Linked DNA regions of Canis lupus familiaris. The protein of the gene in region 2 interacts with the protein of the main gene of each other region in a biochemical or structural test. Links are inferred from orthologs where the notes say so. Each region holds a gene or a part of one and is shown on either strand. Other genes may lie near its edges. The genes, in order: NPPB, NPR3 and NPPA.

What was found.
Region 1: the proteins of NPR3 (region 2) and NPPB form a complex in vitro, tested with the Homo sapiens proteins (4 studies listed by BioGRID, with this or other methods). The link is inferred for Canis lupus familiaris from reciprocal best matches to the Homo sapiens genes NPR3 and NPPB.
Region 3: the proteins of NPR3 (region 2) and NPPA form a complex in vitro, tested with the Homo sapiens proteins (4 studies listed by BioGRID, with this or other methods). The link is inferred for Canis lupus familiaris from reciprocal best matches to the Homo sapiens genes NPR3 and NPPA.

Annotation. Positions count from the first base shown.
Region 1 is NC_049223.1:83,871,033-83,874,517, forward strand, and holds NPPB (natriuretic peptides B), read left to right. Parts: upstream 1-1,247; 5' UTR 1,248-1,491; coding exon 1,492-1,644; intron 1,645-1,866; coding exon 1,867-2,122; intron 2,123-2,688; coding exon 2,689-2,705; 3' UTR 2,706-2,892; downstream 2,893-3,485.
Region 2 is NC_049225.1:75,721,635-75,725,282, reverse strand, and holds part of NPR3 (atrial natriuretic peptide receptor 3), read left to right. Parts: intron 1-1,528; coding exon 1,529-1,664; intron 1,665-3,648. UniProt on the Homo sapiens protein: Receptor for the natriuretic peptide hormones, binding with similar affinities atrial natriuretic peptide NPPA/ANP, brain natriuretic peptide NPPB/BNP, and C-type natriuretic peptide NPPC/CNP.
Region 3 is NC_049223.1:83,881,294-83,884,948, forward strand, and holds NPPA (natriuretic peptides A precursor), read left to right. Parts: upstream 1-1,251; 5' UTR 1,252-1,426; coding exon 1,427-1,543; intron 1,544-1,644; coding exon 1,645-1,971; intron 1,972-2,728; coding exon 2,729-2,734; 3' UTR 2,735-3,050; downstream 3,051-3,655.

The DNA.
Region 1 (3,485 bases), on a different chromosome or scaffold from region 2:
ACAGCTTTCTGTACCTTCAGAGACGACAGTGGATTAATCTAATTCTGTCTTGCCGTCACCCTGGCAGTGATTAAGAGCATGAGGTCTGGAGTCAGACTGCCTGGGTTGCAACCCAAGCTTTACCACTTGTCAACTGAGAAAGCAGATCAATTCCTCTGAGAATCAGTTTCCCTCATTTGAAAAATGGAAACCGGTAACAGTATTTTTTCTCACATGTTTGGCAGATGCTATTTTTCTAAGGAAAGATTTGCTTCGAGGCCATAGCTTCTGCCTCTTGCTGCCTTTTCTCCGTCACCCATATCTCACTCTCTCATCCTGCTGCTTGTCAACACAAGGCATCTGGAAGGGGTGGTGACATCAGTCATGCATGCTTTAGGGGAGATTTAATCTGCTGTGTCTCTTCCCAGGGCCATTTTTCTTTGCAGCCTCATTTGTGATCACAGACAGGAGGCCGGGACCATCTGCTAACAGGAATTAGGTCATGGACGGTCAGATGAAGGAGGCACCGGGGAGGGGTGCTCCCCACACTTCTAGTGTCCTGCCAAATAGATAACCATCTTCCGGTCATCTTTGCCCTTTTTCCTGTCCTATGTTGGCTTGGTGGGGGTGGGGGGGTGAGAGGAGGCGTTGGCACCTGGAGGAGGTTTGATAGACGGCATTCCTGGGTGACTTCATCTCTGGGCTTTGCCTCTCAAAATTCCAGCCAAATCAAGCCCTACCGTGTAAGGGATGGAAGCAGGGTCAGCATTCCAGAAGTTCCTTGTCATGCTCAGGCTTTTAATCAGATGACATTGGAAAATGAGCATCCTTGTGCAGGCGGCGGGTGCGGGGGGGGGGGGCGGTGTCTCAGGGTCTCGTCCCTACTCCATGCTTGTCTTCCTGGCTGGACCTGAGTGGGGAACTAGGCCTGAGGGGAGAAGAGCCAAGACCTTTTGGGTTGAGTTTGCTCAGATGGCTCAGCACCACGGACAGCGGCCGGGCCCCGGGGAGCGGGGAGCGCAGCGCAGAGGAGGCGAGGGGGGGACGCGGAGGGGGGCGCGCCGCGGGTGGGCTGCGGGCTGGGGCTCCTCAGCTCTGAGTCACCCCGGCGCCCCGCACTGGTGGAGCTGTCTCTCCGCACTCCAGGGATGCTTGGGGGCGGAGGAAAGGCAGGGAAGGAGGGAGCGGAGGAGGCCGAGGACCTGTTGGTGTCCCCCTCCTGCCCCCCCCCCGGGGGCCAGGCCCACTTCTATACAAGGCCTGCTCTCCAGCCTCCACCCCGGCGGGTATGGTCGCAGGCGCGGAGGGGCGCATTCCCCCGCCCTGAGCTCAGCCGGCCGGAATGCGGCCGATAAATCAGAGATAACCCCAGGCGCGGGATAAGGGATAAAAAGCCCCCGTTGCCGCGGGATCCAGGAGAGCACCCGCCGCCCCAAGCGGTGACACTCGACCCCGGTCGCAGCGCAGCAGCTCAGCAGCCGGACGTCTCTTTCCCCACTTCTCTCCAGCGACATGGAGCCCTGCGCAGCGCTGCCCCGGGCCCTCCTGCTCCTCCTGTTCTTGCACCTGTCGCCACTCGGAGGCCGCCCCCACCCGCTGGGCGGCCGCAGCCCCGCCTCGGAAGCCTCGGAAGCCTCAGAAGCCTCGGGGTTGTGGGCCGTGCAGGTGAGCGCTCAGCCTGCCTGAAGGCCGCGGCGGGTGGCAGCAGGTCACGGGGGCTTAGCCACTGTCCCAAGTCCTCAGTCTCCCTTGGGAATTAGTGATAAGGGAATCAGAAAGTGACGAGATTGGGTGCCAGGACTCCATACCCAAGGCGGCGGCTTCACTTGGGTGCAAGGGTGGTTCCGCCCCGGCGTGGGTTCCTGAGGCTCAGGCCGTCCATTGCAGGAGCTGCTGGGCCGTCTGAAGGACGCAGTTTCAGAGCTGCAGGCAGAGCAGTTGGCCCTGGAACCCCTGCACCGGAGCCACAGCCCCGCAGAAGCCCCGGAGGCCGGGGAGGAACGCCCCGTGGGGGTCCTTGCACCCCATGACAGTGTCCTCCAGGCCCTGAGAAGACTACGCAGCCCCAAGATGATGCACAAGTCAGGGTGCTTTGGCCGGAGGCTGGACCGGATCGGCTCCCTCAGTGGCCTGGGCTGCAATGGTAAGCCGCCTCCCTGCCACCTTGGCTCCCCCTCCCCAGCCCCCTGGGTTCGACCCTTGGAACCCCTTCTGGGTTTGTTGTCTCGGGGGATCACACTCTGAGGAAAGGACATCTGGACATCGCTCCTTCTTGCTGACAGTCCTAAGGGCCAAGGAGTACGTTTCTGGAAATACTACGTGTGGACATCGTTGTCCAGGGTCCCTACCCACCTCCTAGCCCCCTCCTGCCTCTCGCACCCAAAGGGGCAGAATCATCTTAGGATGGAATCCAGTCGTTGTCTGGAAGCATCTCCTTGGAGCAGAAAGAGTCCTAAACATCGTCCTCGTAGCTCTCTCTGTCTGTCTGTAGCCACGAAGGCAGAGGTCAGGGTCACCAGGGCAGTGATGATTCCCAGTTAACAGAGGAGGAGACTGAGGTCTAGAGAGATGGATTATTCCAAAGCCTCAAACATCCAGATCGGCTGAGGGTGGGGGTTGGTGGCAGGGATGGCTCCTGGGCTTGGGAAGCTCGGATCCTGCCTCAGTCTCCCACCTGACGCCATCATCCCCCTCTCTCTCCTCCCACAGTGCTGAGAAAGTATTAAGAGGAAGTCCCGGCTGCAGACATCTGCATCGGATTCTTCAGCAGCCCCCTGAGCCCCTTGGAAGCAGATCTTATTTATTCGTATTTATTTATTTATTTATTTCGATTGTTTTATATAAGATGATTCTGATCCCCGAGCACGGATTTTCCACGGTGAAATAAAGTCAACCTTAGAGCTTCTTTTGAAACCGATTTGTCCCTGTGCATTAAAAGTAACACATCATTTAAAAAAACAAAACCCCCAAACCACAAACCCTTTTGTTTTCTTGAAGCTTCCAAGGATGTCTTAATGGCGGGGTGGGGACACGGCGGCGTCAGGGCTGGTCAAGCAGGAGCGGGGGCGCCTTCCTTCTCCTGAAGAGTTTTTCATGCTCTGGAACCGTCTATAAATACCCCAAGCACTCAAGACACTTTGCAGGAACTGCTCTTCAAAGTGGTGGTTTCTCCCTGGGAGTGGAAATGGGCCCTGATACGTTCGTTGGTGCAAGCGAGGGTGTGTGTCGGCCTTTGCTTTACTAGTTTCCCCTCTGCCCGGAATTGTGCGATCGATCAATTGATCGGACGCGCTCTCCTCGGTCGGTGGTTTTGTTTCCAGGAAGGCTAAGCGGAAATCTCAGAGATTAGGGGCCGTGTGTGTGGGTGCGAGGCACGCTGGCTTGCTCGCACCTCTAAATGGGGGTGAGCTCTCCACTCTGCCCCAAACCTCAGCCTCCAGTCTTCGATTCCTGATGTCATCCTGGGAAGGATTTTAAAACCCTGAGATTAATTGTATTTCCATGTC
Region 2 (3,648 bases):
GCTTATTTTCTGAATACTGCTATTAGGAATTAAAGGCTAAGCAGGATCCCTCGGTTTATAATTCTCTATAGGTACACAATAACAACAACAAAACCTAACTGTGAGCACTGACTCTGTCAGGCACTGTTGGAGATCTTTCACATCTAGTAATTCATTTAAACCTAAGAGCAACCTCATGAGACAAGTACTATTATTTTCCTCATTTTCCAGATAGGGAAAACAGGCTCAGAGTTGCGGAGAAACACATCTAGGAAGTGGCAAAGCTGAGTAGTGAGCCCAGGTTCTAGCCATTATTCTAAACGGCCTCTCAGCACTGGGCTTTGGCAAATCCAAAATATTTGCTTCTGTGATGAAAACTCATCATCCTTAAGGGCCGGATGAGGCCACCTAGTACTGGACATTGGGCTGTGTCTGCTGTGAATGCTTGTATTTGAATGAGGTGATGCAGGTCAGTGTGTCTCTCTTCCTATGGGATCTCTTTCTAGGGGAGAGCATAGAATGCCTCCTCCCCAAGACTCACAGTGGTCATCTGTGGGATGCTGAATTCATTCTGCTCCATGGCATTCCATTCTTGTCACTTTCTCCTGAAATAAGACTTGTTTTTAGTTTTATTTTTTGTACTTTATACAGAATTTGTAAGCTACTCGGTTTCAAGATTGTATTTGCTCATTTCGTGTTCAATGAATGTTCAGTGGGTTTAAATATAATATCAGAACTTTCAAATGGTACTTACGGAATGAAACAAGGCTCAAAGAAATTAAGTGACTTCCCCCAAAGTACTTGCAACTTAAGTTTCTTGAGGACAAGGGGTATCTTATTTGACCTAGAACTCTGCTGGGATAAACCGGTCGGGTCCAGGCCTATTTCCATTCCTGTTGTTAGAGCTTAGTAGGGTAGGGGTGGGTCCAGAGTTGGGAGGGAGGGGTCAGATGCTCAGGAACCACTATGAACACAAGCTGGAAAGAGAAACTGAGATGGAAGAGAGGACACAGATGCTGGGCAGGTTAAAATGGCAGTGCCTACTCTTTTTTGAATCCTTTTGAATCCTAGAGTAGGTGTTCAATGGTGTCTGAAAATGAATGAATGGACCTGCACTGTTCTTTCAGTCAGTGTCACATTCAGAGCATGGAGAGATCGTGGGGACTGTTGAAGATGGTGAAGACCTCAAGGGAGAGGTTGGGCTTCAGTTGGCTTGAGGTAGAGAACAGATGTGAGGAAGGAGGAGGGCACCTGTGTAGAGGCCAAAGGCAGATGCACCTGGAATACTTAGCCTCACCAACAGGTACAATTTCCTCGACTTCTGTAATATCTTGTCTGCTTTCCAAAGTCCCCAGCTGAGGTATGGTTTTCCTTCTAAGCCAGGGCCAGGAAAACCATGGCGTGATTCTTGTTAGCTACTCTTCTGCTCATCTCTGCCACTGCTTGTGGACCTCAAGTCTAACTTGTTAGCTGTTTTGATTTGCCTACATGACTCATGAATGTTGAGACGTTGGTGTTTGGGCTCACCCAACTGGGGTTTCCTTTCCAGGTTAACATGTTTGTTGAAGGATTCCACGATGCCATCCTCCTCTATGTTCTGGCTTTACATGAAGTACTCAGAGCTGGTTACAGCAAGAAGGATGGAGGGAAAATTATCCAGCAGACTTGGAACAGAACCTTTGAAGGTGAGGATTCAGTCTGTAAGGTGACAACACTGCAGGCGATCCAGCTGCTTCTTCCCTGGTTCTGCTTTTCTCTCTTGCACCTGTGGTACTTTGTCAGTTTCTTGTTTTTCTCAGCTTTGAAGTAAGGAGAGTAGGTCAAGATCAACCCACCTCACAGGCTTGTTGTGAAAATTAAATGAGAGAAAGCTTGTGAAAGCACTTTGGTAGAGTCCCACTGAAACAGGAAGTGCCTTGTCTCCTTCTGATTTTTAGATAACAACTCTGCTTCTTCAAATTAAATTTATCGCAAGCCTCATTCACAACAAATAATCAGTTTGTGAAGAGTTCTGTGATGTTTTAAAAGAAATTATACCAGGTAATATATTTATCTGTTCAATCCTGGGTGGTCTGAGATGGTAAGCAAGTCCAGTCAAGTCCTGTGCTTTTATTTTACTTTTAAAATGGTAAATATCAGCTGTGGGCTTTCTTAAGGACAAAGAAGTGTAAGAACCTTGGAAAAAAAAAAAAGGCCTATAATCTCATCACTCAAGCAACCTCTGTTGACACTTAAAAATTGTACGAGAATGAGACTGTTCTTGGCTGGAAAATTTAAACAGTACAAAAACGTACAAAATGAAAAGCGAAAGTTTTCCTTCCCACCCTAGTCTCCTTTCCCTAACGTAACCACTATTAACAATTTCCTATGATTCGGTCTAAAAATATTTTGTGCCTTCTGCCAGCACATATGCATTTGTATATCTTATAAAAAATTGTACAAAAGGAATATATAATGAATGCCACTCTTCGTCTCAGCTTTTTAAAATTGTATATCAAGTAAAAAAAAATTGCCATACGAGCACTCAAAGATTCAGCACATTTTTAAATGATAGTTCCATGGATTTTGGCCATATGGCTGCACAAAGATCCCTTTAATCAGTCTCCTATTGATGGATAACTTCAGTTTTTTACAGTTTTTGCTGTTATGCAAAATGCTATCACAGGCATCTTATACGTCTTGATGAATATTTGCGAGTACATCTGACAGGGAACATTTCTAGTCATGAGATATCTGGGTCCAAATGTATGTTGGTGTCTTTTTTTAGTGCCTTTGAAAGTGCATTAAATATTGTCAAATATCAAGGTCTACTAGTCTAAATTCTTGCTAACAGCATACAGAGTGCTTGTTTCCTCTCACTTCACTGACACACTCAAAGAAAATTGACATGAGAGTCAATGAGAATGATCCAGCTGCTGGAGCTTTGGAGCTATCAACTTCATATTCATTCAGTCATCAAATATTCTTAAGCACCTACTGTGTGCCAGGCATTGTTCAAAGTGCTGAGGATTCAGCAGTGCACTAAAGAACCTCCCTGAAATCAACTGAACTTTCAGGGTAGTTGGGGAGGAATTGATGACAAACAAATAAATACACTATTTCTGGGGCTATATCAGAAAGCAGGGTAGGGAGACAGAACGTGACAGGAGGGGGTGGTAGGAGGACTGTTACTTTAAGGAACAGGGGCCAGGGAAGGTCTCTAATAATGTTGCAGTTGTGTAGAGACCTGAGGGAAGTGAAAGAAATTATGTAGATATTTAGGAGAGAACATTCTAGACAGAGCAGCAAACACAAAGACCTTGCATTGCCTGTTGAGAGAGAGAGTGCTGAGTTCCCCTGGAAGAACGAAGAGGCCTGTGTGGCTCAAGCACAGCGTGTGAGGGGCAGTGTGTTAGTAGCCACCCTCAGAGAAGCAGCGGGTGGGTAGAGGGCAGATCCTGTGCACCTGGAAGCTGTGCTGAGGACTTTGGGTTCCACCCTAAGTGAGATACAGAGCCAACTAGAAGGTTTTGAGGGACATGGTCTTTCTGGAGTTTTTAACCTTATGGGGATCATGTGGATGGGTGTCATTTAAAACGCCTTGATACAGAGTATAGATTGCTGGACCAGGGTTCAGGACCTGCATCTTAGTCCCTGACACAGTGTTTTGGGCTTCTCTTTCATTACCTG
Region 3 (3,655 bases), on a different chromosome or scaffold from region 2:
GTGATGGCAGTTAGGTCATCCACACGGAGCTCTCGGTACAGCGTCTGGCACATACAGCTGCTCAATAAAGGTAACCGTCAGTACCATCTTGCAAACAGATGGCCCTTCATGGTGCGTTCACACCTTAGTTCACCTGACAACCTTGGTGGGGGGAGCAGGTTTTTACAAATGGGGAAAATGAGGCGGTGATGATGTGTGTAACCCGGTTTGTCTGGGGCTACGATGCAGGCCTCTCCACCCTTCACACTTAGCATTTGCCCCCCGGTACCTGGTGCATCGAGTAGGAAGCAATCAATCCATCAATGTGGAGTTCGGTGCTCAGTGAATGGAAGCCACTCGTTACACGTGGACAGGACAGTCTTGCTGCCTGTAAATTCTCTTTGGGGCCAGGAAAGCAGAGGCCTTGGTGGCTCATCACTCGTGTGGCCTCGCAGCAGGACGCAGGAGGCATTAAGGGAAACCGTGTGCCACTTCCCCACCCGCCGACTCGCCAAGGGAGGTTTCCCGGGAGGGTTGGGGGCGTCGGAAGCCTCACATTCAGAGCCTGGGGTTCTATGGGCAGCGAGGTGATGGGATGAAAATGTTGGCATCTCTACAAACCCACCTCCCTCCACACTGCAGAGGGGAAGGAGGAGGGGCTTGGCGGAGGGATGGCTGTGTTTCCAAAACTTTGCTTGGTGTTTATGTCTGGGAGCTGAATTCTTGGGACACTCATCACATTTGGTTCCAGGCTGACTATTTAATACTCTAAAAAATAACTCCCTCTTCACCTGACCGCTGAGAGCGAGTGCCAGGAGCGAGGGCGGCCCAGCTGGAGGGGAGGTCTGCCCCCACGGCCGATGAGTCAGGTGTGAGGCCAGCGTGAGCATCTGGACTAATTTGTCCCGAGCTGCAGGCTTCCTGCCACTTCCTCCCCTCCCGCCCTTATTTGGAGCCCCTGACAGCTGAGCAGAAAACCAACCGGGGGAGCTGGGCGCCGGCCAACCGTCACCCTCTGCCTCCCTGCGTGGGTCCCGTTGCTGAGGAGAAAGAAGCCCCAGGCATCGCTGTAAGATAACCAAGGACTCTTTTTTGCTCTTCTCACACCTTTGAAGTGGGAACCTCTTGAGGCAAATCAACAAGAATGTGGCTCTTGCCGCTGAGGGTCCGGGGCTGTTGGGCTGCTCAAGGTGGAGGGGTAGTGACAGGCTCTGCGGGCCTGATAGCTTTAAAAGGCCATCTTCTGCTGCTCCTCATTCAGCTGCTTTATCGCTGCAAGTGACAGAATGGGGAGGGTTCCGTCCCTCTTGTGCTCTTGGAGAGCCGGGGGGCTATAAAAAGAGGAGGCGCAGGGCAGCTGGGAGACAGAGGCAGACGGAGGCTGAGAGAGGGAGGCGAGAGGACAGGGGAGCAGCAAGCACCGGGCCACTCCTCGAGCGACGCCAGCATGGGCTCCCCCATCGCCGCAAGCTTCCTCCTCTTCCTGGCAGTTCAGCTCCTGGGGCAGACGGGCGCTAACCCCGTGTACGGCTCTGTGTCCAACGCAGACCTGCTGGATTTCAAGGTAGGGCCAGAACAGGGGCCACAGTGCGGGGCCAGGGGGCCTTGTGACGCTGTGCCGGTCAGTGAGACCTCTCCCTTTCCCTGTGTGTTCCTTTTGTAAAGAACTTGCTGGACCGCTTGGAGGACAAGATGCCTTTAGAAGATGAAGCCGAGTCTCCCCAAGCCCTGAGTGAGCAGAATGCGGAAGCTGGGGCAGCTCTCAGCCCCCTGCCTGAGGTGCCTCCCTGGACGGGGGAGGTCAGCCCAGCCCAGAGAGATGGGGGTGCCCTTGGGCGCAGCCCCTGGGACTCCTCCGATAGATCTGCCCTCCTGAAGAGCAAGCTGAGAGCCCTGCTTGCTGCCCCTCGGAGCCTGCGGAGGTCCAGCTGCTTCGGAGGCAGGATGGATAGGATTGGAGCCCAGAGCGGACTGGGCTGCAACAGCTTCCGGGTAAGAGATGCTGGGGATGGATACAGGATGGGGAGGAAGTTAGTTGTGGTTTCACCCTGTCAAAAAGTCCGGCCAGGGCATGCCTCCTGCAGTAGAGACCAGGGTGGAAGCTTACTTCCTTTGAAATGCTTGCCCCAACTTGGGGCAATGACCTCATCCTCAGCTACAGGCTGCCAAGGATACTCTAAGGGAAAAAAAAGGTACTGCCATGAACACTGGGAACTTAAAATGTTCATGGGGCCAAATCACCTTCATCCTGCTGATCGGTAGTTCATGTTTCTCCCCAGAATTGCCAGATCCCAAAGGATGAAATGATCATGACCAGGTTGGGGTGCTTGGGTGGCTCAGTAGGTTGAGCGCCCGACTCTTGATTTCCGCTTGGGTCATGCTCTCATGGGTTGTGGGATCGAGCTCCAGGTGGGGCTCCAGCCCCATGTCCATCTCCATGCTCGGCGGGGAGTCTGTTTGAGATTTCTCCCTCTGCCCCTCCCCTCACGCACACATGGATGTGCTGGTGCTCTTCTCTTTCTCTCAAATAAATAAATCTTAAAAAGAAAAAAAGCAAGCAAGCAAGCAAGCAAGCCATCGGGGTTGACTTCTAACTTTTACCGAGCAACTTGTGCACCCATTCGTGAAACTCCTGGCGTTGTCAGGCTGGGGTGGGGGGTGCTGGTGGGAAGTGAACACAGTCCTGTGAGATTGACCTTTCCAAAAGAGCCAGGTCACCAAGTCAAACTTGTGTCTGTTCTCTTTGTAGTACTGAAGATAATGGCCAGGGAGGAAAAGGAGGCCCTGGCCCGGGGGCAGACTCTGAGAGACCCTCGTCCCTTGGGGTCTCTCACTCAACTTTGTCCCAGCTCATTGCCATCAAGTTGAGCCGTGACGAGCACCGAGACCGTATTCAAGCTGCAGCCTCTTGGCGATGTTTCTCACGTTCTATGCTAAACGTAGATAACTTGGCTGAATTGTGGCTTTCCCACCCCTCCCACCCCACGCGTTAACAGTTTAGCATAGACACTCACCTGTTACTGAAAGGGGTTTGAAAACCAATAAACTTCAGCACCACGGACAGCAGCCAAGTCTGGGTTGGCGTGGTTGGCGTGCGGGTGGCGTGGTTGGCGTGGTCTTTCTTCTCCCAGTCTGAGGACCCGGTTACCTTTTGCCAGAGAGGAGAGCGCTCAGTTTCTTTCTTCTTCCTTTCAAACACAGTACGCTCTATTTCGGGGAGCAGTTTCAGGTTCGCTGCCAAATTAAGCAGAAAGTACAGAGGTCTCCCACAACCGCCTGCTGCACACACGCAGGGCCTCCCTCCCGCACGGCCAGAGCCGTGCCCTTGCTACACACCATGACTCTACACCAGCACATTCTTACCACCCGGAGCCCACACTTGACATTAGGGTCAAGCCTTGGTGTTGAGCATTCTGCGGGTTTGGACAACTTTTTTTCTCCTTTCATTCCCTCCCCAGCCCTCACCCCCAGCTTTTTCCTTGGTTGGAGGTGTGGGTGGGGCTCAAATTGCAGTTCACAATCTTGTTTCTTCACTCTGGCCTCATCACAGATCCCGAAAATGCCCCAGGAGATGGACGGAGAGGGCACTTATTTTTCAGATTTTGCTCACACTCGGGGCACTTATTTATTGAAGAGGAAACTTAACAAACATCTGGGCTTTTTTCATGGTGGCATC